Saccharomyces cerevisiae S288C: one gene and its partners. The main gene of each other region encodes a partner of the protein of the gene in region 3 in a complex. Each region holds a gene or a part of one and is shown on either strand. Other genes may lie near its edges. The genes, in order: RSC30, RSC6, RSC2 and RTT102.

Region 1 (9,083 bases), on a different chromosome or scaffold from region 3:
TATTATTTGTTTTACCCTTTATGGATATTCATCCACTCAGAAACTAATATATCAAAATCAACGATAAGATCACAAGAGGTGAAATAAGAAAAGTAAAAGAAAAATATTTAAATTTAACCATTATGATTTCCACTTTGTTTTCTCTACTCTATTACTTGAACAAACTTTATTTTTGGTAATGAGGGCTGGTCACAGATTACCTTTAATATCCTTTGTTAGTAGCTTTTTTGTGTTCTATTTCAGGAAAGAAGAATGGGAAAAATAATAAAACAATAAATAACTATATAAAAAACAAAAACCTAGAATATACCATTAAAGAATTACTATTCTATTCTGTGCTTCACCGTTGCGTCAATAAATGTGAAGTTGATGTCACTTCATACTAAAAAAATTAAAGACAATTTCCTGAAAAAAATTTTTCCACTGGAGCTCATCGCAAATTTTGAAAAGTAACAAAAAGCGTTTGTATACTGCATAAAGAATAGTGTCTGTTTTATAAGAAATATTAGACAGCAGGCAGATAAACCTACGTTCCAGACTATAAAGTATAAAATGGCTAAAAAGAGTAACTCAAAGAAATCTACGCCTGTAAGTACACCAAGCAAAGAAAAGAAGAAGGTTATTGAAAAGAAATCTTCCACAGCCATTCCTAGGGAAAGAGTTATTAAAGCTGTCAACGAGCTTATAAAATTCACTTCCAAGCCACAAGATGAAAATAATGAAGAAGGAAATAACGGTAAGAAAAACCTATTGGAAGATGATGAAGAAGAATTGAAGAAAGATCTGCAATTAATCGTAGTAAATAATAAATCATTCACCGGTACTTCCAAATCATTCAAATTGAAATTACTAAATGTCAAACATTCGTTTTACAAGCCTTGGAAAGAAGCCAGTGCAACAGCGGTTAAGGATTTCAAAGTTTTATTAATTTTGAAGGATTCTGATATTAAGAAAGTTTCAGAAGATGATTTATTTGATCAATTAGATTCAGAAGGAATCAAGGTTGATGAAATCATTTGCGGGAAAGACTTAAAGACCGTTTACAAGGCATATGAGGCTAGAAACGCTTTTATATCTCAGTTTTCTTTGATTTTGGCTGACGACAGTATAGTTACATCTTTGCCAAAACTTATGGGAGGCAAAGCCTACAACAAAGTAGAAACTACTCCTATATCAATTAGAACACATGCAAATAAGGAATTTTCCTTGACCACTTTGACGAACAATATCAAAAAGGTTTACATGAATCAGTTGCCCGTTAAACTTCCAAGAGGTACCACGTTGAATGTCCATTTGGGTAATTTAGAATGGTTAAGGCCAGAAGAGTTTGTAGATAACGTTGAATTAATTTCTGAACAGTTAATCAAAGCATACCAAATCAGATCCATTTTTATCAAGACCAATAGGTCGCCCGTATTGCCATTATACTATAACCAGGACGTTCTTGATGAACTTGAAGCTAAAAAGGACAAAATCGAAGAAACCCACGAAGATGACATGGTCACCATTGATGGTGTACAAGTTCATTTGTCTACCTTCAACAAGGGTTTGATGGAAATCGCCAATCCTTCCGAATTGGGTTCAATTTTCTCTAAACAAATTAACAATGCAAAAAAGAGATCTTCTAGCGAGCTTGAAAAAGAATCTAGCGAGTCAGAAGCTGTCAAGAAGGCTAAAAGTTAATTTGTTTCCTCCTTATCTATCTTTTCTCTCATTTTTTTCTTGTGAAGAAAAAAATTTGAATTTCATAGAGTGCGGTGCATATGTATATATCTATATATGTTTGAAGTGTATATTAAAAATAAAGTCATTATTTGAATATTGGTTTCTCGGTCTAAGAGCTTATACGTTTTAGACTGATCTGTTGTACTATCCGCTTCAAATAAATAGATCATTGAAAGTGACGGGGATAACAGCATTTTACCTTTAAAAGACGTTCTCATAATACATTTTAGGATTAATACATATGCTTTTTTTTTATTCGAAATCTGGGGATTCTATACAGAGTTGTAAGTTAGGCAAACTAGAATTTGGTAATAATATTTTATTCTTGGGGCGACATATGGAGATACTTTATTTCCTTTTCTTAATTATTAACGTATACCTATAAATTAACAAAGTATCTAAACAAAATACATAAGTGTACTCAAACTGAGTAGAATCGTCGATTAAACTTCCTTCTCCTTTTAAAAATTAAAAACAGCAAATAGTTAGATGAATATATTAAAGACTATTCGTTTCATTTCCCAGAGCAGCATGACTTCTTGGTTTCTTCAGACTTGTTACCGCAGGGGCATTTGTCGTCGCTGTTACACCCCGTTGGGCAGCTACATGATTTTTGGCATTGTTCATTATTTTTGCAGCTACCACATTGGCATTGGCACTCATGACCTTCATTTTGGAAGTTAATTAATTCGCTGAACATTTTATGTGATGATTGATTGATTGATTGTACAGTTTGTTTTTCTTAATATCTATTTCGATGACTTCTATATGATATTGCACTAACAAGAAGATATTATAATGCAATTGATACAAGACAAGGAGTTATTTGCTTCTCTTTTATATGATTCTGACAATCCATATTGCGTTGGTAGTCTTTTTTGCTGGAACGGTTCAGCGGAAAAGACGCATCGCTCTTTTTGCTTCTAGAAGAAATGCCAGCAAAAGAATCTCTTGACAGTGACTGACAGCAAAAATGTCTTTTTCTAACTAGTAACAAGGCTAAGATATCAGCCTGAAATAAAGGGTGGTGAAGTAATAATTAAATCATCCGTATAAACCTATACACATATATGAGGAAAAATAATACAAAAGTGTTTTAAATACAGATACATACATGAACATATGCACGTATAGCGCCCAAATGTCGGTAATGGGATCGGCTTACTAATTATAAAATGCATCATAGAAATCGTTGAAGTTTGCCGTAGTAATACCCAGATTATCAGATTCCAAATCCTTGTCAATAATTATACTCCTTTGGACAACTTCTCTTTCCATTAAAAAATCTGAAATCTCCTTAAATTTTAAATAGATTCTGTTCAGTTCACTAACGGGGAATTTCAAGAGAACATTTTTGTTCTTCGCCGACTGACTATAATCTGTAACATTATTGTTATCAGAGTTTCTCGCAAAATTTTGTTTTTTCTTGCTAAATCTCAGCATATATTTAATCAGATTCAAAACCTTGTTGAAACCTTTAATAGATTTGAAACTTCCGTTGCTATTCATTTCATCTCGTAAAAAGGATACGATAATTTCTATTTTTTTTAAAATTTCCAAAATCTTGTCATGAATCAATAGCAATTGAACATTAATCTCCTCATTTGAAAGATTTTTGTAAAATTCGTCATATAATATTACTTCACAACGTTGGAAAATAGCAAATGTGATTGCTATAAAATTCTGTAAGATTTCAATAAAATGATTTGCGAATAAAAATTCTTTACCATTAGAATGAAAGCGATTATTGCCGCTTGAAAATGACTTTATCGACTTTATGGGGAAGATAAAATTAAATGTTATTGAGTAAAAAATGTGCATATTAGAAATAATTTTCATCAGATCCTTTGCACATCTTTCAGAGTTCGAGGTCTTATTGTTGTTAGAAGAATGTTGAACTGCCATGGACAAAGAGGATTCGTTTTGAACAAAAAGGAAAAAATTTGTATAAACAATGGTATTGATAAAATTTAAAGTGTCTTTCCATTCTTTTCTGACTTCGTTGTCATGAAAATATAAGTCTACTGTATTACTCACGCCCATAGTCAAGGTTTCTAACAGACTTTCAATTTTGGTTAAATTTACTGGCAAGTAGAAAGGAACACCTTGCAGAATATTTATCAATTTTGCTTGCGTTTCCAGTAATTTTAAATCGTTAGCAATTAAAGGAATGTCGTTCGTATCAATAGAGGCAGGTATCGGAGATAGGTTTTCAGCAGCGGGTACCATGAATAGCTTTTTTTTTTTTTTTTATTCGAAATCTGGGGATTCTATACAGAGTTGTAAGTTAGGCAAACTAGAATTTGGTAATAATATTTTATTCTTGGGGCGACATATGGAGATACTTTATTTCCTTTTCTTAATTATTAACGTATACCTATAAATTAACAAAGTATCTAAACAAAATACATAAGTGTACTCAAACTGAGTAGAATCGTCGATTAAACTTCCTTCTCCTTTTAAAAATTAAAAACAGCAAATAGTTAGATGAATATATTAAAGACTATTCGTTTCATTTCCCAGAGCAGCATGACTTCTTGGTTTCTTCAGACTTGTTACCGCAGGGGCATTTGTCGTCGCTGTTACACCCCGTTGGGCAGCTACATGATTTTTGGCATTGTTCATTATTTTTGCAGCTACCACATTGGCATTGGCACTCATGACCTTCATTTTGGAAGTTAATTAATTCGCTGAACATTTTATGTGATGATTGATTGATTGATTGTACAGTTTGTTTTTCTTAATATCTATTTCGATGACTTCTATATGATATTGCACTAACAAGAAGATATTATAATGCAATTGATACAAGACAAGGAGTTATTTGCTTCTCTTTTATATGATTCTGACAATCCATATTGCGTTGGTAGTCTTTTTTGCTGGAACGGTTCAGCGGAAAAGACGCATCGCTCTTTTTGCTTCTAGAAGAAATGCCAGCAAAAGAATCTCTTGACAGTGACTGACAGCAAAAATGTCTTTTTCTAACTAGTAACAAGGCTAAGATATCAGCCTGAAATAAAGGGTGGTGAAGTAATAATTAAATCATCCGTATAAACCTATACACATATATGAGGAAAAATAATACAAAAGTGTTTTAAATACAGATACATACATGAACATATGCACGTATAGCGCCCAAATGTCGGTAATGGGATCGGCTTACTAATTATAAAATGCATCATAGAAATCGTTGAAGTTTGCCGTAGTAATACCCAGATTATCAGATTCCAAATCCTTGTCAATAATTATACTCCTTTGGACAACTTCTCTTTCCATTAAAAAATCTGAAATCTCCTTAAATTTTAAATAGATTCTGTTCAGTTCACTAACGGGGAATTTCAAGAGAACATTTTTGTTCTTCGCCGACTGACTATAATCTGTAACATTATTGTTATCAGAGTTTCTCGCAAAATTTTGTTTTTTCTTGCTAAATCTCAGCATATATTTAATCAGATTCAAAACCTTGTTGAAACCTTTAATAGATTTGAAACTTCCGTTGCTATTCATTTCATCTCGTAAAAAGGATACGATAATTTCTATTTTTTTTAAAATTTCCAAAATCTTGTCATGAATCAATAGCAATTGAACATTAATCTCCTCATTTGAAAGATTTTTGTAAAATTCGTCATATAATATTACTTCACAACGTTGGAAAATAGCAAATGTGATTGCTATAAAATTCTGTAAGATTTCAATAAAATGATTTGCGAATAAAAATTCTTTACCATTAGAATGAAAGCGATTATTGCCGCTTGAAAATGACTTTATCGACTTTATGGGGAAGATAAAATTAAATGTTATTGAGTAAAAAATGTGCATATTAGAAATAATTTTCATCAGATCCTTTGCACATCTTTCAGAGTTCGAGGTCTTATTGTTGTTAGAAGAATGTTGAACTGCCATGGACAAAGAGGATTCGTTTTGAACAAAAAGGAAAAAATTTGTATAAACAATGGTATTGATAAAATTTAAAGTGTCTTTCCATTCTTTTCTGACTTCGTTGTCATGAAAATATAAGTCTACTGTATTACTCACGCCCATAGTCAAGGTTTCTAACAGACTTTCAATTTTGGTTAAATTTACTGGCAAGTAGAAAGGAACACCTTGCAGAATATTTATCAATTTTGCTTGCGTTTCCAGTAATTTTAAATCGTTAGCAATTAAAGGAATGTCGTTCGTATCAATAGAGGCAGGTATCGGAGATAGGTTTTCAGCAGCGGGTACCATGAATGAAGACTGACCTAGAAGCGAATGTCTTGAGTAATACATTTTTTTCAAAAAATGGAATAACTTGAAATCTTTTATCTGGAAGCTTAACAGACAGCTCAAATCTTCGTCTAAACTTGATTTATGATCATCATGCATGTACAGAGATTCATAAAATTTTGTGATGGCAATAAATTTGATTGTCTCTTGGTCATAATATTCCAGGTTTATCAATGTGATTTGGCTTCGAATCAACCTCAAATTATTCATTAATGCCGAAACATGGTTATTAATAGCCTGCTTATTGAATAGGGTCATTGAATCGTTTAACAACAGTAGAAGCACAGTTAATTCGCCTAGTTTGGTCAGTTGAGATAAAGGAAGATCGACCGTTGAGAATGAAGGACAGGTATCACCATTTGGAAAAGAGTTATGAACAAATTCTAGTAAGAGGGTTTTGTCAAAGATTGGCAAAAATTCTTCAATATTCAGATTGTTAAGGGATTCAGAGTTTAGTGTCTCAATAATTATTGCTTTTGGTGGGAAGTTAACTTTGCAAACTTCCATATATTGTTGGTGATTTTTATTGTTAGGAGGACTTACTTTGAACTGATTAATATGGCAGATATCGTGCAAAATATTATAGAACTTGAAAAGATAATGATCTCTAAAAATGATGAAGTTTTTAGTGAAAAGGTAGTTGGGGGTATCCTTCAACGGTTTCACTTGGACTAAACTTTGCACATCTGTTATTGTGAGCGCTGTAAAGTATTTTTGTGAGGACTGAGAAGTCCTTGAAGTCTGATGATCAAATCCGGCTCTTTTACCGTCAACCTTGCCTTTCTTAGAATTCTCACCTGTTTTGTTAATTTTGTTTGCCGTGGTATTGTCGGCATTTAAATTCGATTTTTCTTTCAAACTTTTCAGTTGCAAGCTTTGTAAATCAAGCAATTTGTTTTTTAAAAAGTCTATCTCCTTGATTAATACTTCCTCTTGAGTAAACGGAGAAGTCATTAGATCGAAAACGGCCGAGTCTTGATTGATACCAACATTAAAAGAGTATGGGTTATCTGTATAGTCAAAACTTTGAGCGTTAACCAGTTGTAATCGTGTGTTATATTCTCTAATCTGATCCATGGAGGGCACATCTGGACTATCGCTTCTCACAATAGTGTTTCCATGAACATTACTACTAACGGTACTACTATTCTGACGAGGAGCAGTATTATTATTGGTGTTATTATTCTGGTAGCTAGCGGCCTTGGTCCACTGCATCGCAGTATCCACAGAGGGGTTGAACGAGAAGTTGAATGCCTCTATCGACGTTTGCATAATCGGATACTGCGTTTGAATCATTACGTTTTTCTGATTTACACCGTTTCCCTGACTAAAATGGTTGGAACCTTGGCCATTGCCGTGCGTGGACATCCCGGACGCAGAGGGCACAGCGACCATCTTACCAGGTCCATCTGGATAAAAACAGTCCGGCTTGTTATACTTGACGCAATTCCCACATATCGGTTTTGCCCTGTCGCACCCGATCTTTCTCTTCCTGCATTGGGTGCAAGCAGGCGGCTTCCTCACTTTTCTCACTTGCATGTCCATCATGATTAAAAACAAACGGCAAAGCTACGCACTAGTCACAGCAGACAACGACAATGCTCCTCTCATAAATTGCTAAGATACATTAAAAACAACAACTCTCTTCTTGTTCTTCCTCTCTTTGCATCATTCCTGCAAAATATCACACTACACGAGCTAGGATGTATAACCATCCTTAGTAGGACGCCAAGGTTATATTCAAAATGATATGATTTCCCCAATTAATACTTGCTGTTGCATTTTGAATCGGATGTAACTGGGACTAATGCTGCGCTAACCAGACGTACGTTCCGGTGGTCACAGTGCGGAACTGTTCCCACGTTCTCTAGTTAATTTACCTTTAACTATACATACTGAAATTGATATCTATGTATATAGTATGAAATATTGCATATACTCAAGAAGAGAGCTCAGGCGTCCACTCACCGCATTTTGCGATCTTGACCGCCTCGAGAGGTTTGTCATTCGCATCTCTGGACACGTGCTGTATGTAGTTCACCACATCCATGCCGTCCACAACCTGTCCAAATACCACATGCTTTCCATCGAGCCACGACGCTTCTTCCGTAGTGGTGATGAAGAACTGAGATCCATTGGTATCTTTACCACGATTAGCCATCGATAGTCTGCCCTTGCGATCATGCTTCAAAGTAAAGTTTTCGTCAGGGAAAGTATCTCCATAGATGGATTTGCCACCAACGCCAGTGCCGTCTGTGAAGTCCCCTCCCTGTACCATGAAGTTGGGAATCACCCTATGGAAAGTGGACCCGATGAACCCCTTTTTGGAATTAGTGGTGGTGCTTAACTTGTAGAAGTTCTTCGCCGTCTTAGGACATACCTTTCCGTACAACCCAATAACGATTCTGCCAACTTTCTCTTCACCATGTTCAATATCGAAAAACACCTTTTGTGTAATTACTTCGTCGTCCTGATCAATCAACTCACCCACATCAGATGCAATAACATTAACGCTAAGGAATAATAACAACCAACACCACAAGCCACTGAATTTCATTTTGTTTTCCCTTCGTGTCTTTTTCCTCTCATTTCTTTCCTTTTGGGGGAACTTCTTATGATGGGTACATCGATTTTTGAAGAAAACTGAAAAGTTGATTTCGCGGGGTTTTATAATATAGTACAAAGATATATGCAATTGCCATGGCAGTTCTCATATGTAGTTTGGGGTGGATCGAATGCTTGTGACCATTAATTTGTCCAACATCTCTGTAGTTATACCCATGTTACCGTTGCCAGTACGACCGGTACCGTTGTCTATAGTTTGTCCTCCTGTACCCATAGTGTTGACTGTCATGTTGACATTTGTGGTTGAGGGAACAGTCGCCATATTGGCACCGCCGGTAGGTCGTACACTGCTCTTGTTACTGCCCCCTCCAGCGTTGTTCCCGTTGGTGGCAGCCGTTGCAGTCGTGCTAGTGTCCGTAGGTACTTTATAGTGTACTCCTTGGGAAGGTTGAAACTCAATCAAGTCATACAAGCTCTCCAATGTGCTATTTAGATGGTAGCTCGTGGACATCAGCCTACTTTGCACA
Region 2 (7,889 bases), on a different chromosome or scaffold from region 3:
ATCAAGTCGCCCTCCAGCTCTCTACTAAGACCGGTCGCAAGCATGCTGGGCGATATATCCAAACCACACCACACATGGTCTCCCTCCTGCGTCAAAATCTCCCCAGACAGTCCGGACCCGCACCCGATATCCAGAATGAAACTGCACGGCTGCAGATTCAAAAGCTCCAACGCCCTCAGCGTCATCTTCGCCTGGATATGCTGCACTCTGGTCGAACCCGTGTACTTGTGTGCTTCGCTATCATTATAGAAAATCTCCGGTGGTGCCAACTCCTCAGGACGTGACATTATTTCTTCTCTGATATATTTCCTGTGTTTCCGTACCGCACCTTTTTAGCACTACTTTTTTACTATGCTCTTCTTCTTCTGCTTCTTCTGCTTTTTTCCTCTTTATCACACTATGTATGTGCTGCTCATCTCTTCTTTTTATCGATAAAATTGAAAAATGTGAGATGGTGTAGAGTGAAAAAAAAAAAAAAATCTGGCTTGGCCATCAAATACCCGGCCGTGGTTGGACTCGTTTAGCGAACAATAGCACCCAGCAGACCCTGGCAACATGCGGATGATATAAGAAGGACGAGCGTGGTGGAGGAAAGGGGCGCCATTGGCACACTCACGCAGGTGGTTGTTCAGCACGGCTTGCAGCAAGAGCGCCAAAACAGATTGCAAGAATGACGGAGACTAAGGATTTGTTGCAAGACGAAGAGTTTCTTAAGATCCGCAGACTCAATTCCGCAGAAGCCAACAAACGGCATTCGGTCACGTACGATAACGTGATCCTGCCACAGGAGTCCATGGAGGTTTCGCCACGGTCGTCTACCACGTCGCTGGTGGAGCCAGTGGAGTCGACTGAAGGAGTGGAGTCGACTGAGGCGGAACGTGTGGCAGGGAAGCAGGAGCAGGAGGAGGAGTACCCTGTGGACGCCCACATGCAAAAGTACCTTTCACACCTGAAGAGCAAGTCTCGGTCGAGGTTCCACCGAAAGGATGCTAGCAAGTATGTGTCGTTTTTTGGGGACGTGAGTTTTGATCCTCGCCCCACGCTCCTGGACAGCGCCATCAACGTGCCCTTCCAGACGACTTTCAAAGGTCCGGTGCTGGAGAAACAGCTCAAAAATTTACAGTTGACAAAGACCAAGACCAAGGCCACGGTGAAGACTACGGTGAAGACTACGGAGAAAACGGACAAGGCAGATGCCCCCCCAGGAGAAAAACTGGAGTCGAACTTTTCAGGGATCTACGTGTTCGCATGGATGTTCTTGGGCTGGATAGCCATCAGGTGCTGCACAGATTACTATGCGTCGTACGGCAGTGCATGGAATAAGCTGGAAATCGTGCAGTACATGACAACGGACTTGTTCACGATCGCAATGTTGGACTTGGCAATGTTCCTGTGCACTTTCTTCGTGGTTTTCGTGCACTGGCTGGTGAAAAAGCGGATCATCAACTGGAAGTGGACTGGGTTCGTTGCAGTGAGCATCTTCGAGTTGGCTTTCATCCCCGTGACGTTCCCCATTTACGTCTACTACTTTGATTTCAACTGGGTCACGAGAATCTTCCTGTTCCTGCACTCCGTGGTGTTTGTTATGAAGAGCCACTCGTTTGCCTTTTACAACGGGTATCTTTGGGACATAAAGCAGGAACTCGAGTACTCTTCCAAACAGTTGCAAAAATACAAGGAATCTTTGTCCCCAGAGACCCGCGAGATTCTGCAAAAAAGTTGCGACTTTTGCCTTTTCGAATTGAACTACCAGACCAAGGATAACGACTTCCCCAACAACATCAGTTGCAGCAATTTCTTCATGTTCTGTTTGTTCCCCGTCCTCGTGTACCAGATCAACTACCCAAGAACGTCGCGCATCAGATGGAGGTATGTGTTGGAGAAGGTGTGCGCCATCATTGGCACCATCTTCCTCATGATGGTCACGGCACAGTTCTTCATGCACCCGGTGGCCATGCGCTGTATCCAGTTCCACAACACGCCCACCTTCGGCGGCTGGATCCCCGCCACGCAAGAGTGGTTCCACCTGCTCTTCGACATGATTCCGGGCTTCACTGTTCTGTACATGCTCACGTTTTACATGATATGGGACGCTTTATTGAATTGCGTGGCGGAGTTGACCAGGTTTGCGGACAGATATTTCTACGGCGACTGGTGGAATTGCGTTTCGTTTGAAGAGTTTAGCAGAATCTGGAACGTCCCCGTTCACAAATTTTTACTAAGACACGTGTACCACAGCTCCATGGGCGCATTGCATTTGAGCAAGAGCCAAGCTACATTATTTACTTTTTTCTTGAGTGCCGTGTTCCACGAAATGGCCATGTTCGCCATTTTCAGAAGGGTTAGAGGATATCTGTTCATGTTCCAACTGTCGCAGTTTGTGTGGACTGCTTTGAGCAACACCAAGTTTCTACGGGCAAGACCGCAGTTGTCCAACGTTGTCTTTTCGTTTGGTGTCTGTTCAGGGCCCAGTATCATTATGACGTTGTACCTGACCTTATGAACTGCCACCATACCACGTGTGTCCCTCGCAAGCCCTTGATAGATATACAATAGGGAATGGGCGTCCGCTCCACCGTGGTCAAAGACAGGGGCAAAGAGCTCCTAGGTCTATATATATATCTATATACATATTTATATATATTATTAGAACTTTACAATATAGTATATACCATTCATTGTTTAAGTTTCGGGTAATACTTTTTTTTTCCTTGTCATAACCCCAAAAATTTTCGATGCCTTTGATATAATTGAGAACAAGAAGAGTTTGCAGGTGACAAAAATCGATGATTATAGGTGTTGTGACGACAAAATGAACGCTAATATATGGGTGGCTGCTTCAGATGGTAATTTGGACCGAGTGGAACATATCCTCCGCGAGAGTAAAGGCGCCATGACCCCGCAATCCAAGGACATTAACGGCTACACTCCAATGCATGCTGCCGCCGCATACGGCCACCTGGATTTGCTGAAGAAAATGTGCAATGAGTACAATGGAGACATTAATGTGTTGGACAACGACGGCGATACCCCGTTGCACCATGTGGAGGATGTGGCCACTGCCAGGTTGATCGTGGAAGAGCTGGGTGGAGACTTCACTATCAGGAATGTGGAGGGCCAAACGCCATACGACTCGTTCGTCGAGAACGGTGAAGATGGTGAGCTAATCGAGTACATGAGGATTAAGTCCGGCGTGGCCGATGTTCACGGAGTGGACGGCGTGCAGGGTGAGGGTGTCATCGACAGCAAATTGCTGGAAGAGTTCAAGGACAACGTGAGATACACCTTGGAAAATGACCCTGAGGAAGGAGCCGATGAGGCCACTCTGCAACGCAGGAGGCAGTTGGAACAGATCATTACGGGAGACAACGCTGAGGAGGAGTTGGAAAGGTACATCCGTGCTATGGTCAGAGAGCAGATGCTGGGCCAGGGCTCCATGGCGGGTTCCGGGGACGAACCAGATTCCAAGAGAAGAAAATAACGACCCAGCACAAAGGCTCTTACAGCTTGCTAAAAGAAATTGAACGCGACGCTACATGAACTACTTCTTTCTCTTACATAGTCTTTTCCCTTATGTATCTTTTCTGTACATTAATAGACGTTCTTACAAGGTAAAATTTCACCGCGTTTTTAAATAGAATGAAAAAAACGTTGTAGAGTGAAAGAAAAGCAACAAATATACAGTTCACAAGGCAGCTTCGTATAGTAATACAGCACGAAAAACAGCTCATAGAAATGGTAACACAGACCAATCCGGTCCCTGTTACATATCCAACGGATGCTTATATCCCCACGTATCTGCCCGATGATAAGGTCTCCAATCTGGCAGATTTGAAAAAATTGATAGAAATGGATTCCAGACTAGATTTGTATCTGACAAGAAGGAGGCTGGATACGTCCATCAATTTACCTACAAACACCAAGACCAAGGACCATCCCCCCAATAAAGAGATGCTGAGGATTTACGTCTACAACACTACGGAAAGCAGCCCTCGCAGCGATTCTGGCACCCCAGCGGACTCAGGCAAGACTACATGGACACTGAGAATAGAAGGTAAGCTTCTGCACGAGTCCGCAAACGGAAAGCACCCATTTAGTGAGTTTTTGGAAGGTGTCGCGGTCGACTTTAAAAGACTGAAACCGCTGGGCATGGGCAAGAAGAGGAAACGCGATTCGTCATTGAGCCTTCCTTTGAATCTGCAACAACCCGAATACAATGATCAAGATAGCACCATGGGCGATAACGACAACGGCGAGGATGAGGACAGTGCAGAGGCAGAATCCAGGGAGGAAATTGTAGACGCACTGGAATGGAACTACGATGAAAACAACGTTGTGGAGTTTGATGGTATCGACATCAAGAGGCAAGGCAAGGATAATTTGCGATGCAGTATAACCATCCAGTTGAGGGGTGTCGACGGTGGAAAAGTACAGTACTCGCCCAACTTAGCTACCTTGATAGGTATGCAAACGGGCTCCGTTAATGACGCGGTTTATTCGATCTACAAGTACATTTTGATCAACAATCTGTTTGTTACGGAACAAACAGAGGCTCAAGATGGTTCCAACGATGCCGAAGACAGCAGTAACGAGAATAACAATAAAAACGGTGCTGGTGACGATGATGGCGTCGAGGGAAGTACTCCAAAGGATAAGCCCGAATTGGGTGAAGTGAAGCTAGATTCACTCTTACAAAAGGTATTGGATACAAACGCCGCGCACCTCCCCTTGATGAATGTTGTGCAAACCGTGAACAAACTGGTATCACCCCTACCGCCCATCATCCTAGATTATACAATTGATCTTTCCAAAGATACCACCTATGGTGCTACCACCTTGGATGTAGATGTGTCGCACATTCTCCACCAGCCTCAACCCCAGCCAAATTTACAAAAAGAGGAAGAAACAGATGCTGAAGACACAGCAAAACTACGTGAAATCACAAAGCTTGCCTTGCAGTTGAACTCTAGTGCTCAAAAATACCAGTTTTTCCACGAACTGTCTTTGCATCCAAGAGAAACGCTGACTCACTACTTATGGTCTTCCAAGCAAAACGAGCTTGTGCTGCAGGGCGACCAATACTTCAATGAAGATGCTGCAAGAACGAGTGACATATACAGTAACAACAACAATGACAGGTCACTAATGGGCAATATCTCACTACTGTACTCCCAAGGAAGACTATAACATCACTGTATGATCTCATTCTTTCTGCAATTATTGCACGCCTCCTCGTGAGTAGTGACCGTGCGAACAAAAGAGTCATTACAACGAGGAAATAGAAGAAAATGAAAAATTTTCGACAAAATGTATAGTCATTTCTATCAATAACGTATACACGTTTTTTTAATACTATCTATATTGTGTATCTTATATTTTTCCATTTGGTAGTATAGCAGCAAATATTTGTTCTTAGACGGCCACCATCCCTCACACCAATGCCTAACGCTTCCCAAGTTTACAGATCTACCAGATCCAGCTCTCCAAAGACAATCTCTTTTGAAGAGGCTATCATTCAAGGTCTGGCCACTGACGGTGGTCTTTTCATTCCACCAACTATTCCACAAGTGGACCAAGCCACTCTTTTCAATGATTGGTCAAAGCTCTCCTTCCAAGACTTAGCCTTTGCTATCATGAGACTATACATTGCCCAAGAAGAGATTCCAGATGCTGATCTAAAGGACTTGATCAAGAGATCTTATTCTACTTTCCGTTCTGATGAAGTCACCCCCTTGGTGCAAAACGTCACTGGTGACAAGGAGAATTTGCACATTTTAGAATTATTCCACGGTCCTACCTACGCTTTCAAAGACGTTGCTTTACAATTTGTCGGTAATCTTTTTGAATACTTCTTACAAAGAACCAACGCCAATTTACCTGAAGGCGAGAAAAAGCAAATCACTGTGGTCGGTGCTACTTCCGGTGACACTGGTTCTGCAGCCATCTACGGTTTAAGAGGCAAAAAGGACGTTTCCGTTTTCATCTTATATCCAACCGGTAGAATTTCCCCAATTCAAGAAGAACAAATGACCACCGTTCCAGATGAAAACGTCCAGACTTTGTCTGTTACCGGTACTTTCGACAACTGTCAAGATATCGTCAAAGCTATTTTCGGTGACAAAGAATTCAACTCTAAACACAACGTCGGTGCTGTTAACTCCATCAACTGGGCAAGAATCTTGGCCCAAATGACCTATTACTTTTATTCATTCTTCCAAGCCACCAACGGTAAGGACTCCAAGAAGGTCAAGTTCGTTGTGCCAAGTGGGAACTTCGGTGATATATTGGCCGGTTATTTTGCCAAGAAAATGGGTTTGCCTATTGAAAAACTGGCCATCGCTACCAATGAAAACGACATTTTGGACAGATTTTTGAAATCTGGTCTATACGAAAGATCAGACAAGGTTGCTGCTACTTTATCCCCAGCAATGGATATCTTAATCTCTTCTAACTTTGAAAGACTACTATGGTACCTAGCTCGTGAATACCTAGCTAATGGTGATGATTTGAAAGCCGGTGAAATCGTCAACAATTGGTTCCAGGAATTGAAGACCAACGGTAAGTTCCAAGTTGACAAATCCATCATTGAAGGCGCATCAAAGGACTTTACATCAGAAAGAGTTTCCAATGAAGAAACATCTGAAACAATCAAGAAGATCTACGAATCATCTGTAAATCCAAAACATTACATCTTAGATCCTCACACAGCTGTCGGTGTTTGCGCCACAGAAAGATTGATTGCAAAAGATAATGACAAGTCCATCCAATACATTTCTCTATCTACCGCTCACCCAGCTAAATTTGCCGATGCTGTAAACAATGCATTGTCTGGATTTTCCAATTATTCATTTGAAAAGGATGTTTTGCCTGAGGAATTGAAGAAACTATCCACATTAAAGAAGAAATTAAAATTCATCGAAAGAGCTGACGTTGAATTGGTCAAAAACGCTATTGAAGAAGAACTTGCTAAAATGAAATTATAAGATCTTCCTTTTTAATGAATATATTTTATCTTATATAACATATAGAATTCTATAATTAATAGAGAGTATGAAGTACGATTATCCTTAATGTTAATCAAAGTGAATCATGATTGCGAGAGTAAGGAACCATAAAATTAATCTTCATCTATGCTAATAATCTCAGAATTCTCGTTCCCAGGGTCTTCTTCTTTAGATACTAATCTAACTTTCCCGCCCTTTTCAACTGATATTTCAAACCCAGCTTTGCTCAATGCATCGTCTTGAACAACGTCTTGAGCTTCCATTTTTTTGACATATTCCTGATTCTTGGCATTATTCTTTAACAAAAACTTCAAGCAAACAATAGATCTTTCCTTGATAAACGGATCATTATCATCGATGACACAATTGGAAAGAATTAATGCAAGACCACCTAATTCTCTTATTTGATCTTGGATTTCAGGATGTGCATACACTAACGATGCCAATATTTCGATTATTACTAATTTACAATGGGGAAAATTATCAGCCCTAATAAAGGATTCGTTGGTATTAACACGGTTGAAAATTAATAACCGGTCCTCGATTTTGTTACCTTCATGATCTGTGATTTTAATTTCATTCACCGTATCACCGTTTCCTTTCAAAAAATTAATCCTCAACAAATTCTTTTGGAAAGTATCCAAGAGAGATACCAATATTTTCACAGAGTCATACGAAATTAAGAATTTTCTAACATGATTGAATTTGCACAAGTCAGAAATTATGTCCAGGCAAGAAAGTAAAGTGGAGTGTAATTGGATGGCAACTGAAGGAGCATAATCGTTACAACTTTTATTGAAAAAGGCAGGAATATCCTTGCATGCAAGACGTTGCAGAATGGGGTAGCACCATGACATAATTGCAGTCAACTCATAGGTATTCCAA
Region 3 (9,408 bases):
TTTTGCGATTTCATCATCAGTGATTTCGACGTGTTTGCGCATTTGCTCAATTGCTTCATCTGTAACAACAGTTAAGCCCAATTCCTTCTCAGCAATAGCCAAATTTAACCATAGTTTTCTCCATGTGGAAAATCTGTTTCTCAAAGAAAACGTTGCTGACATTTCCTTGGAGGCATATCTAGAAGACAATGGCGTAGTGTAATTGTCATAGTCAGGCATCTTTTATATAATTCGGATAGTTTATTTCACTTTAGTTGTAGCAACTTACTGGAAAAGCTTTGGTCCTTGGGGAAGAAATTTTGAGAGGTTGGTGATGAAGTATAATTGTTTTATATGGCTACTATTAATACAACGATAATATATCTATAGATGACTTTCTTCTATATAATAACTTCTGTTTTATTTCATTTTCCTGCTTTGTTTGAAGTTTGACTCTGCTCGCGGAGGGTAATGCGCAATGGGAAGATATTATGCTGCCATTGCTTTTACAATAAAGGTGATCATGAAGACGACGAAGGAGGCCGCAGCATAGAGAGTCTGTGCGCCGTGAACTTAGCCGAGGGTCTTAATCCAAGGACAAATGGGCCTGGCAAGGACTCTTTCTCATTTTCAACATCCGGTTCTAAGCCATCATCATCTTTGTCCTTTCCAGTCACATCTTCCATGGTTTCTTCAACTTCTTCGTATTCTAGTTTTCTTTTCTTGTTAGTGGTAAACCACCTATTCAGTGGCAGGCTTAGGTGTGGGTCACCTGAATTTATTATTCGTTCATTTACTATCACACTAGGTCCTCTGAACCATAATATTTCACCCTTTGTTTTTTTCCATGGAAACATCTCTTCTCTTCCAGATCTCTTGGTTTGGCTGTGCAGATCAGTACGCTGCAAAACATCTACGTTTTTGGTTATAGAGATAGGTAAGACAAACGAGGAGGCTGCATCGATCATTATATTACCCAAATTACCTCTTGATGCCTGCGATGTTAAATCATCGATTATTGTTGGGATATTATAACGTGATGCTTGGGATCTTTTCTGTTGTTGGTATTGATGTTGCTGCTGTTGTAACCTTTGCAATTGGTGTTGCTTTAAACCTTGTACAGTAAGCGGGCCTCCCGCGCCAGGGGAACCAACTCTTGACAGTGGTATTTGTTGCTGGCCAATAGCATTTTGGTTTTCTAAAGACATAGATGACCTGTTATATCTTAAACTGGATAGTTTACTACTTGAGTATCCTGTTTTAGGAAGAGCATTTGCTGTTGGCGTGTTTGTGGTGATCGTACCTGTTTCTATATCCACTTGTCCCTCTTCGGGAGAATCGTTGGGTCTGATAATATACCTGGGACAGTCATCAGAGGTTGCATATTCCCCCAAATCGTCACGCTGCATTTTAGGTCTCATATAAACGGCACCGACCAATGGTGGCGCGTCCGGGGATCCCATCGTTGGTTCAGGAACGCGATCATGCGGCGTTGCATTAGCTGGTAGTAGATGTCTTATGGGGGAAGGATATTTGAAGAACTTTCTACCATTTACCGGAATGGTAGCTTCGTCCAAATCACGAATTTCCTCTGGTAAGCAAGCCTTCCAGGTTCTAATCTTGTTAAAAATTTTATCGGATTCATTATAACGGAATTCGCAAACGAACAAGGGACCCTCCAATTTCATATCGGGATTACCACGTTGATATCTAGTAAAGTGAATCACATAGCATTTCCCAACTAAGTTTGACACTAAATGATCACGGTACTGACCTGTTTTCATAACTTCGTTTTTGTAAAACAATCTATCCACTCTATGCACAGTTTGTTCGGGTCTGTAATACCAACAAGCGTTTAACCATTGTTTCCCATCTGGTGTCTTCCATAGCCTGAATATTTGGCCCACTATAGGTTTTTGAGGATCATTTTGATTTCGAAGAAGTGCCCAATCTCCCACGTGGTATGATATATTATTTACAATGACTTCATCTAGAGGGTATCTTAGCTCGCCTTCTGGAATGAAACTTCTATCAGGTTTGGATAGTTCGAATCTTGCCAGACTAGTAAAGGTCTTTTCTAAGATATTTGAAATTTTTATGCTTTCAGGATCACCTCTGTGCGAAATTCTAAAGTTGGTTAACATAAGATTAAAATCATTCTGGAACTCCTGGAACGTTTTATAACGACGAGTCTTTACCTTTTTATTTATGTCTTGAAGACTAATTGGATTAGCAATCATGATGTAGTAATTTGCATCTCTGTGTCTATCGGGCAATCTTTCAAAAAGATCAGTTAGACCAATTCCACTATCTAGCACCTCTTTTTTTAGTACTTTCATAACATTTTTCATTCTTTGAATATACGGTAAGTCGATGATTGGGGGTCTCCCACGCTTTACCTGAGTTCTGGATACCTGTCTATGCCTTGGGCCTAACGGCTGAGGGGTGCCTGAGTGAGATGGAGTAGTGGACCTGTTGTCTCTTAATGGTTTCCGAGTATATGGATTAATATTTATTAGTGGCTTTCTTATCAAATCAGGAAAATCAGCATCCTTAGGGTTATCGATATCCATATCCGTCGCCTCATAGTCCTCATCATTATTTGTATCGGTTCCTGGTTCTGATTCTCTTTTGACGGAAGTACGAGTCTTTCTTAATCTTCTGGCTGCTTCTGTTGAATTCATTGAAGAGCTCGACTCGGCTCTGGCTGCATTAGCTCTCGCTACTTCCTCAGCTTTTTCTCTTAATTTCTGTTGAAACTCTTCATAACCTGGTTCATCGGGTAGAGGACCCAAATCAGGATACACTAATTGAGGATATTTTTCTTTTAAATTTGGATAGATTGTGTCCTTTAAATATTTCTCAAGGACTAAGGCGTATTTATAAATTCCTGAATCTCTTGTATTGTAAGTCTTGGCATTCCATGGAATCTGGACAACATCGTTCATAAACTGTTGAGCATCTGTATAATGTGGAATACGCTTTTTTAAAGTATTGAAAGATACAGGGTTCTTGATCACTGCGTAGTAGTCAGGATAATCCTTTTTAGGTGGAAGGACATTGAATATTGGTGAAATCTCTAACCCAGAATCTTCCTTTAAAGTGAAAAGAGATTCATATTCTTTCCTCAGGTCCTTGTATAATGCGCTTGAGTTTTGAGTGGACGAGTTTGAATTGTCATCAGGCATCATGCACTGTCAATGTAGAATATTCTCCGCTTCGTCTGGTTCTGCGCGACGTGCTGTATATTTGATCACGTATTGAACTGTTACCAATACTTTTTTCAGCTGTGTTGTTTTCTCTATTTTCTCACTTTAACATGCGAATTTTCGCACGACTCTCGGCCGGGTGAGAAAAGTCAGTGACAGTAATAAACCAAGTGCAAGAGCACCTACAAATGTGCTTATTACAGTGTATTATTATGTATATATGTGCATACGTGTGTGTATGCACAATTTTTGAACATACTGTCTTTTGAACGTTTGAAAACTCGTAGGAATATATAAAAAAACTGCAAATTACTACACACTTTATTTTTGGAGAGAGAGAGGAGCCGAGTTCAGGCAGCTACAAATTCTTGTAGAGATAAATACGTGAACGAGAAACACTAGATAAATTGTCCTTCCCCATAAACGCCAATAACGGCTTGTACAAAGCCAACAATAGCAATAGCAGTTGCTGCAATTAGATTTTTAGTATGGATTGGGGGACCGGTGTGCAATGCCTCTGCCGGCTTTGATACTGTGGTTGCTGCAGGCTTCCCGTCTCGAGGTGTATTTTCTGAAGCATGGTTGTCTTCACCTAAATCAATAATAGAATCGCTCAGTTCGGAAGCAGCGAGTTTGCTGTCTTCGGGAAATAAAGAAGATTCCTTAGAGACTTTACTGTACTTTCTAGACTGATAGTTGGAGGCACATCCTAGAACAAATGAAGATAATGGAGCTACAAGCATACCATAGAGTAAGTAGGGGTGTCTCAATGAGGGAGGAGCGCCGAAAAAGCTCACACAAAAGAAAGTTGACGCAAACGCTCCCAAGGCGGTGGCCGCATTTTTCAAAGTGGTTAAAGTGGGAGTAAGGGATCCTGTTAAAACCTCTAGTGGAGTAGTAGATGTAATCAATGAAGCGGAAGCCAAAAGACCAGAGTAGAGGCCTATAGAAGAAACTGCGATACCTTTTGTGATGGCTAAACAAACAGACATCTTTTTATATGTTTTTACTTCTGTATATCGTGAAGTAGTAAGTGATAAGCGAATTTGGCTAAGAACGTTGTAAGTGAACAAGGGACCTCTTTTGCCTTTCAAAAAAGGATTAAATGGAGTTAATCATTGAGATTTAGTTTTCGTTAGATTCTGTATCCCTAAATAACTCCCTTACCCGACGGGAAGGCACAAAAGACTTGAATAATAGCAAACGGCCAGTAGCCAAGACCAAATAATACTAGAGTTAACTGATGGTCTTAAACAGGCATTACGTGGTGAACTCCAAGACCAATATACAAAATATCGATAAGTTATTCTTGCCCACCAATTTAAGGAGCCTACATCAGGACAGTAGTACCATTCCTCAGAGAAGAGGTATACATAACAAGAAAATCGCGTGAACACCTTATATAACTTAGCCCGTTATTGAGCTAAAAAACCTTGCAAAATTTCCTATGAATAAGAATACTTCAGACGTGATAAAAATTTACTTTCTAACTCTTCTCACGCTGCCCCTATCTGTTCTTCCGCTCTACCGTGAGAAATAAAGCATCGAGTACGGCAGTTCGCTGTCACTGAACTAAAACAATAAGGCTAGTTCGAATGATGAACTTGCTTGCTGTCAAACTTCTGAGTTGCCGCTGATGTGACACTGTGACAATAAATTCAAACCGGTTATAGCGGTCTCCTCCGGTACCGGTTCTGCCACCTCCAATAGAGCTCAGTAGGAGTCAGAACCTCTGCGGTGGCTGTCAGTGACTCATCCGCGTTTCGTAAGTTGTGCGCGTGCACATTTCGCCCGTTCCCGCTCATCTTGCAGCAGGCGAAATTTTCATCACGCTGTAGGACGCAAAAAAAAAATAATTAATCGTACAAGAATCTTGGAAAAAAAATTGAAAAATTTTGTATAAAAGGGATGACCTAACTTGACTCAATGGCTTTTACACCCAGTATTTTCCCTTTCCTTGTTTGTTACAATTATAGAAGCAAGACAAAAACATATAGACAACCTATTCCTAGGAGTTATATTTTTTTACCCTACCAGCAATATAAGTAAAAAATAAAACATGTTGAGAACTCAAGCCGCCAGATTGATCTGCAACTCCCGTGTCATCACTGCTAAGAGAACCTTTGCTTTGGCCACCCGTGCTGCTGCTTACAGCAGACCAGCTGCCCGTTTCGTTAAGCCAATGATCACTACCCGTGGTTTGAAGCAAATCAACTTCGGTGGTACTGTTGAAACCGTCTACGAAAGAGCTGACTGGCCAAGAGAAAAGTTGTTGGACTACTTCAAGAACGACACTTTTGCTTTGATCGGTTACGGTTCCCAAGGTTACGGTCAAGGTTTGAACTTGAGAGACAACGGTTTGAACGTTATCATTGGTGTCCGTAAAGATGGTGCTTCTTGGAAGGCTGCCATCGAAGACGGTTGGGTTCCAGGCAAGAACTTGTTCACTGTTGAAGATGCTATCAAGAGAGGTAGTTACGTTATGAACTTGTTGTCCGATGCCGCTCAATCAGAAACCTGGCCTGCTATCAAGCCATTGTTGACCAAGGGTAAGACTTTGTACTTCTCCCACGGTTTCTCCCCAGTCTTCAAGGACTTGACTCACGTTGAACCACCAAAGGACTTAGATGTTATCTTGGTTGCTCCAAAGGGTTCCGGTAGAACTGTCAGATCTTTGTTCAAGGAAGGTCGTGGTATTAACTCTTCTTACGCCGTCTGGAACGATGTCACCGGTAAGGCTCACGAAAAGGCCCAAGCTTTGGCCGTTGCCATTGGTTCCGGTTACGTTTACCAAACCACTTTCGAAAGAGAAGTCAACTCTGACTTGTACGGTGAAAGAGGTTGTTTAATGGGTGGTATCCACGGTATGTTCTTGGCTCAATACGACGTCTTGAGAGAAAACGGTCACTCCCCATCTGAAGCTTTCAACGAAACCGTCGAAGAAGCTACCCAATCTCTATACCCATTGATCGGTAAGTACGGTATGGATTACATGTACGATGCTTGTTCCACCACCGCCAGAAGAGGTGCTTTGGACTGGTACCCAATCTTCAAGAATGCTTTGAAGCCTGTTTTCCAAGACTTGTACGAATCTACCAAGAACGGTACCGAAACCAAGAGATCTTTGGAATTCAACTCTCAACCTGACTACAGAGAAAAGCTAGAAAAGGAATTAGACACCATCAGAAACATGGAAATCTGGAAGGTTGGTAAGGAAGTCAGAAAGTTGAGACCAGAAAACCAATAAAGAGGAAAATAATATCAAGTGCTGGAAACTTTTTCTCTTGGAATTTTTGCAACATCAAGTCATAGTCAATTGAATTGACCCAATTTCACATTTAAGATTTTTTTTTTTTCATCCGACATACATCTGTACACTAGGAAGCCCTGTTTTTCTGAAGCAGCTTCAAATATATATATTTTTTACATATTTATTATGATTCAATGAACAATCTAATTAAATCGAAAACAAGAACCGAAACGCGAATAAATAATTTATTTAGATGGTGACAAGTGTATAAGTCCTCATCGGGACAGCTACGATTTCTCTTTCGGTTTTGGCTGAGCTACTGGTTGCTGTGACGCAGCGGCATTAGCGCGGCGTTATGAGCTACCCTCGTGGCCTGAAAGATGGCGGGAATAAAGCGGAACTAAAAATTACTGACTGAGCCATATTGAGGTCAATTTGTCAACTCGTCAAGTCACGTTTGGTGGACGGCCCCTTTCCAACGAATCGTATATACTAACATGCGCGCGCTTCCTATATACACATATACATATATATATATATATATATGTGTGCGTGTATGTGTACACCTGTATTTAATTTCCTTACTCGCGGGTTTTTCTTTTTTCTCAATTCTTGGCTTCCTCTTTCTCGAGTATATAATTTTTCAGGTAAAATTTAGTACGATAGTAAAATACTTCTCGAACTCGTCACATATACGTGTACATAATGTCTGAACCAGCTCAAAAGAAACAAAAGGTTGCTAACAACTCTCTAGAACAATTGAAAGCCTCCGGCACTGTCGTTGTTGCCGACACTGGTGATTTCGGCTCTATTGCCAAGTTTCAACCTCAAGACTCCACAACTAACCCATCATTGATCTTGGCTGCTGCCAAGCAACCAACTTACGCCAAGTTGATCGATGTTGCCGTGGAATACGGTAAGAAGCATGGTAAGACCACCGAAGAACAAGTCGAAAATGCTGTGGACAGATTGTTAGTCGAATTCGGTAAGGAGATCTTAAAGATTGTTCCAGGCAGAGTCTCCACCGAAGTTGATGCTAGATTGTCTTTTGACACTCAAGCTACCATTGAAAAGGCTAGACATATCATTAAATTGTTTGAACAAGAAGGTGTCTCCAAGGAAAGAGTCCTTATTAAAATTGCTTCCACTTGGGAAGGTATTCAAGCTGCCAAAGAATTGGAAGAAAAGGACGGTATCCACTGTAATTTGACTCTATTATTCTCCTTCGTTCAAGCAGTTGCCTGTGCCGAGGCCCAAGTTACTTTGATTTCCCCATTTGTTGGTAGAATTCTAGACTGGTACAAATCCAGCACTGGTAAAGATTACAAGGGTGAAGCCGACCCAGGTGTTATTTCCGTCAAGAAAATCTACAACTACTACAAGAAGTACGGTTACAAGACTATTGTTATGGGTGCTTCTTTCAGAAGCACTGACGAAATCAAAAACTTGGCTGGTGTTGACTATCTAACAATTTCTCCAGCTTTATTGGACAAGTTGATGAACAGTACTGAACCTTTCCCAAGAGTTTTGGACCCTGTCTCCGCTAAGAAGGAAGCCGGCGACAAGATTTCTTACATCAGCGACGAATCTAAATTCAGATTCGACTTGAATGAAGACGCTATGGCCACTGAAAAATTGTCCGAAGGTATCAGAAAATTCTCTGCCGATATTGTTACTCTATTCGACTTGATTGAAAAGAAAGTTACCGCTTAAGGAAGTATCTCGGAAATATTAATTTAGGCCATGTCCTTATGCACGTTTCTTTTGATACTTACGGGTACATGTACACAAGTATATCTATATATATAAATTAATGAAAATCCCCTATTTATATATATGACTTTAACGAGACAGAACAGTTTTTTATTTTTTATCCTATTTGATGAATGATACAGTTTCTTATTCACGTGTTATACCCACACCAAATCCAATAGCAATACCGGCCATCACAATCACTGTTTCGGCAGCCCCTAAGATCAGACAAAACATCCGGAACCACCTTAAATCAACGTCCCATATGAATCCTTGCAGCAAAGCCGCTCGGTGTTCTTTATTCATAAGCAACCTCATTAATCTATAGTCTGAAACTAATTTCCTTCTTGAGCTGCAGCCAATAATAAAAAATAATGGCGGCACTATACTACAACATAGGAGGATCACAATGATGTTTTCGATGCTGTAAACGTCCCTGAATCCATTTTGACCTGAATCAAACGAATGAATGGAAGCGGTATCGATATGTTGAATTGGCATTCTCGCCTCCAGGTCTATATTTTCAGCATCGTGCCTGTCTTCTTTCCTATTATCAGTTTTTTCTTGTTGCTTTCGTCGTATGCTTCGAGCTGGCTTTTCTATAATGGAGTTCTGTCCCGTGTCTGACTCCGAGCTTTGAGATTTAATTGGAGCTAGCACGAGGGGTTGTCCATGTTCTGGCAACGTTTTATTTTTCTTCTTGTTCATCTTGGTCAATGGAGAGGGCGTCTTGTGTCCTTCATAGCGTGAAAATGGATCAGACTTAGTTGAATTTCCAGATTCTAAGCGTAAAGGTGTCTTCGTCCATTTGCTTGGTCCGGACACACTTCTTAATACGGGAATTGAAGGTAGTCCAATTGGTGGACCTTCTTCTTCTAGGGATGTGGAGGGCTTGCGCGTAGATTTTGAACTGAATTTTTCTTCATTATTATGCCCTATATGGTCTTTAGGAGAACTTTCGTTACTACTGTCACTATTGTGTGAAGGAATCAATATGTTACCAATTAACGATGGACTCTGAGGAATTTTAATCTTCCTTGCCGACGTACCTGGCGCACCTGGCGAATGCGAATCATCACTTGTCGACGACTTTATTGATCCAGCCTTCTCTGGAATTTTTAGTTTGTGCGGTATAAATTTTGATTCATTCACAGGTTCGTATTGATCTATGACTTCATCCTCGGTCTCGCCTTCACCTTTACTGCCAGTTGAGCTTAT
Region 4 (2,908 bases), on a different chromosome or scaffold from region 3:
TTAAAAATCATACTGAGGACGATTCTAAGGGCCAGTTAATCCGTTGCGTCGAAGATGATGAGACATGGACCCATATTCACGAGAATCTAAATAAAGATGTCAAACTTATTGTGGGGAGAATCAAGAACTTAGAGAGGTCACGCAACTATAATAAAAAGCCACGGAAGGAAACTCCTTCGTTCGATGCGTCCATGGTTCTTCATGATATAGGGCAACATCTAACACAATTATACGAGAATGCTACACCAGGTACTATGATTTTGATCATGTCGGGTACAGGCGACACAAGACCATGGAACAATCTTTCAACTGAGTTAGAGTTTATTCAAGACAAAAAGGAAAGATTAGATAAAAGACGCGAAAGGGAACCTGAAATAGTAGAAGCCATAAAGTTAGCCCGGGGTGGTGTAGCATCCTTTACTGTAAAATAATTCTATGTGTATAAATATATAAATATATATATATATATATATATATATATATGCATAATACTTTTCCTTTTAATTCATTTTCACATCTTTACTCTCCTTTGTATTATCATTGTTCACTCCCGCAGATAACCCAGGAATGGCTTCACTATTACCGACAGCGCCTCTTATATCATCCACACTAAGAGCTTCATCTCCTTGATTAGCAGAAGGAGCACCGGTGGCCTTACTTGTATCACCCTTAGTGTGCGATGTCATCAACGACTTTTTCAGTATTCTTCTATCAAATTCTTTCAAATCTAATATATCCTCACAGCTCTCCCTCTGTAGATTTTTCTCATCTTCCTGGTTCCTCAACCATGTTTTATACCTGAATGGATATTTCTCCAAGTTATTCTCCATGTCCCCTAGCTGTTGTTGTGGTTGCTGCACATTGGAGCTCACCTTAGATGGTTGGTACCAATCATACCTCCATGATTCCTTACTCGTAGGGTTGCCATAGTAAGAAACCTTATTGGCCTTAGTAATGAGCGTCTGTGGGTCCATTTTCTCTATCTCTTGCTGACGTAGCTCTTTCTTTCCAACATTAGGTTTTATCGCCTTGTTCATTAATAAACTAGTCGATAATTTCATTTCGCGGCGATGGTTTTCAAATGTGCTTTTAAGAGAATAAATAGCATTTTAAACACAGAGAGAAAAAGAAGTACAACAGGAGTATAAGGCGATATGGTAAAGCAGCAGGGATCCGGCAAGACCAACTTGGCCAACGAAGATGAAGCATATGAAGCTATTTTTGGCGGAGAGTTTGGCTCTTTAGAAATCGGGTCATACATTGGCGGGGATGAAGGTGCCAATTCAAAGGACTATACGGAGCATTTGCCGGATGCTGTAGATTTTGAAGATGAAGATGAACTTGCTGATGACGATGACGATTTGCCAGAAGAATCTGATGCTAATTTGCATCCAGCTATGATGACTATGGGCGCGTATGATGATGTAAACGAGAACGGTGCCGTACTCGGTATCGACTCAAATAGTTTGAATATGCAACTGCCTGAAATTAATGGTGATTTGTCTCAACAGTTTATTTTGGAGGATGATGGGGGTACTCCCGCAACTAGCAATGCTTTGTTTATGGGAATGGATGCAAATGAAATTCATCTCGCCACTGAAACTGGAGTTCTTGATGGTAGTGGCGCAAATGAAATTGGGCATTCTCAACTTTCCATTGGTGGCGTTAATGGAAATGATATGTCGATAAATGGTGGATTTATCATGGAACCAGATATGTCAGATGGCAAGCATAAGAAAGCCACCAAATTAGACTTGATAAACCATGAGAAGTATCTTCTAAAAAAATACTTTCCTGATTTTGAAAAGGGTAAAATTTTAAAATGGAACAAGCTGATTTATAGAAGATCTGTTCCTTATCATTGGCACAGTGAAATATCTAGGGTAAAGAAACCGTTTATGCCTTTAAATTTGAAATTCAAGGTTCAACAGGATGATAAGAGGCTATTCAACTCAAGGACAATATCTTACGTCGCTCCGATTTATCAAGGGAAAAACAATTTACTTCAAAGTAACTCTTCTGCATCCCGAAGAGGTTTAATTCATGTTTCCATTGATGAACTTTTCCCTATCAAAGAGCAACAAAAAAAAAGAAAGATTATTCATGATGAAAAGACCATATCGGAAGACTTGCTTATTGCCACTGATGATTGGGACCAAGAAAAAATCATCAACCAAGGTACTTCATCAACAGCAACCTTGGCGGATTCGTCTATGACACCCAACTTAAAGTTCTCCGGCGGTTATAAATTGAAGAGCTTGATTGAGGATGTTGCTGAAGATTGGCAGTGGGATGAAGACATGATCATTGATGCAAAATTGAAAGAGTCTAAACATGCTGAATTAAATATGAATGACGAAAAACTGTTGCTGATGATTGAGAAAACAAATAATTTAGCGCAGCAAAAGCAACAACTGGATAGTAGTAACTTGATATTGCCCCTCAACGAAACTATTTTGCAACAAAAATTCAATTTATCTAATGATGATAAATATCAAATCTTGAAAAAAACCCATCAAACAAAAGTTCGTTCTACCATCTCGAACTTAAATATTCAGCATTCTCAACCTGCGATTAATTTACAATCTCCATTTTACAAAGTGGCTGTTCCTAGATACCAGTTGAGGCATTTCCACCGTGAAAACTTTGGTTCGCACATCAGACCAGGTACTAAAATTGTCTTCAGTAAGTTAAAAGCGCGTAAAAGGAAAAGAGATAAAGGTAAAGATGTCAAAGAATCATTTTCTACATCTCAAGATCTAACCATCGGGGATACTGCTCCTGTTTATTTAATGGAATATTCTGAACAAACACCGGTAGCTTTGTCTAAATTTGGTATGGCCAATAAATTAATTAATTATTATCGGAAAGCCAATGAACAAGATACTCTAAGGCCCAAATTGCCTGT

Evidence for each region.
Region 1: RSC2 (region 3) and RSC30 share a complex: the UniProt entries of both Saccharomyces cerevisiae proteins name them as parts of the two forms of the RSC complex.
Region 2: RSC2 (region 3) and RSC6 share a complex: the UniProt entries of both Saccharomyces cerevisiae proteins name them as parts of the two forms of the RSC complex.
Region 4: RSC2 (region 3) and RTT102 share a complex: the UniProt entries of both Saccharomyces cerevisiae proteins name them as parts of the two forms of the RSC complex.

What each region holds. Positions count from the first base shown.
Region 1 is NC_001140.6:210,296-219,378, forward strand, and holds RSC30 (Rsc30p), read right to left. Parts: upstream 7,540-9,083; coding exon 4,888-7,539; downstream 1-4,887. Other genes in the region: CIC1 (Cic1p), read left to right, coding at 553-1,683; YHR052C-B (uncharacterized protein), read right to left, coding at 2,224-2,397; metallothionein CUP1-1, read right to left, coding at 2,240-2,425; YHR054C (uncharacterized protein), read right to left, coding at 2,890-3,954; YHR054C-B (uncharacterized protein), read right to left, coding at 4,222-4,395; metallothionein CUP1-2, read right to left, coding at 4,238-4,423; peptidylprolyl isomerase CPR2, read right to left, coding at 7,931-8,548; mediator complex subunit MED6, read right to left, coding at 8,702-9,083. UniProt on the Saccharomyces cerevisiae protein: Component of the chromatin structure-remodeling complex (RSC), which is involved in transcription regulation and nucleosome positioning. RSC is responsible for the transfer of a histone octamer from a nucleosome core particle to naked DNA.
Region 2 is NC_001135.5:211,259-219,147, forward strand, and holds RSC6 (Rsc6p), read left to right. Parts: upstream 1-3,735; coding exon 3,736-5,187; downstream 5,188-7,889. Other genes in the region: BUD23 (18S rRNA (guanine1575-N7)-methyltransferase), read right to left, coding at 1-287; ARE1 (sterol acyltransferase), read left to right, coding at 671-2,503; YCR050C (uncharacterized protein), read right to left, coding at 2,206-2,514; YCR051W (uncharacterized protein), read left to right, coding at 2,813-3,481; threonine synthase THR4, read left to right, coding at 5,439-6,983; CTR86 (Ctr86p), read right to left, coding at 7,118-7,889. UniProt on the Saccharomyces cerevisiae protein: Component of the chromatin structure-remodeling complex (RSC), which is involved in transcription regulation and nucleosome positioning. RSC is responsible for the transfer of a histone octamer from a nucleosome core particle to naked DNA.
Region 3 is NC_001144.5:835,093-844,500, reverse strand, and holds RSC2 (Rsc2p), read right to left. Parts: upstream 3,171-9,408; coding exon 501-3,170; downstream 1-500. Other genes in the region: adenylosuccinase ADE13, read right to left, coding at 1-219; YLR358C (uncharacterized protein), read left to right, coding at 451-1,014; ATG33 (Atg33p), read right to left, coding at 3,587-4,180; ILV5 (ketol-acid reductoisomerase), read left to right, coding at 5,248-6,435; sedoheptulose-7-phosphate:D-glyceraldehyde-3-phosphate transaldolase TAL1, read left to right, coding at 7,144-8,151; BUD8 (Bud8p), read right to left, coding at 8,338-9,408. UniProt on the Saccharomyces cerevisiae protein: Component of the chromatin structure remodeling complex (RSC), which is involved in transcription regulation and nucleosome positioning. RSC is responsible for the transfer of a histone octamer from a nucleosome core particle to naked DNA.
Region 4 is NC_001139.9:1,041,342-1,044,249, reverse strand, and holds RTT102 (Rtt102p), read right to left. Parts: upstream 975-2,908; coding exon 501-974; downstream 1-500. Other genes in the region: RNH70 (Rnh70p), read left to right, coding at 1-431; TAF1 (histone acetyltransferase), read left to right, coding at 1,155-2,908. UniProt on the Saccharomyces cerevisiae protein: Probable component of the chromatin structure-remodeling complex (RSC) which is involved in transcription regulation and nucleosome positioning. RSC is responsible for the transfer of a histone octamer from a nucleosome core particle to naked DNA.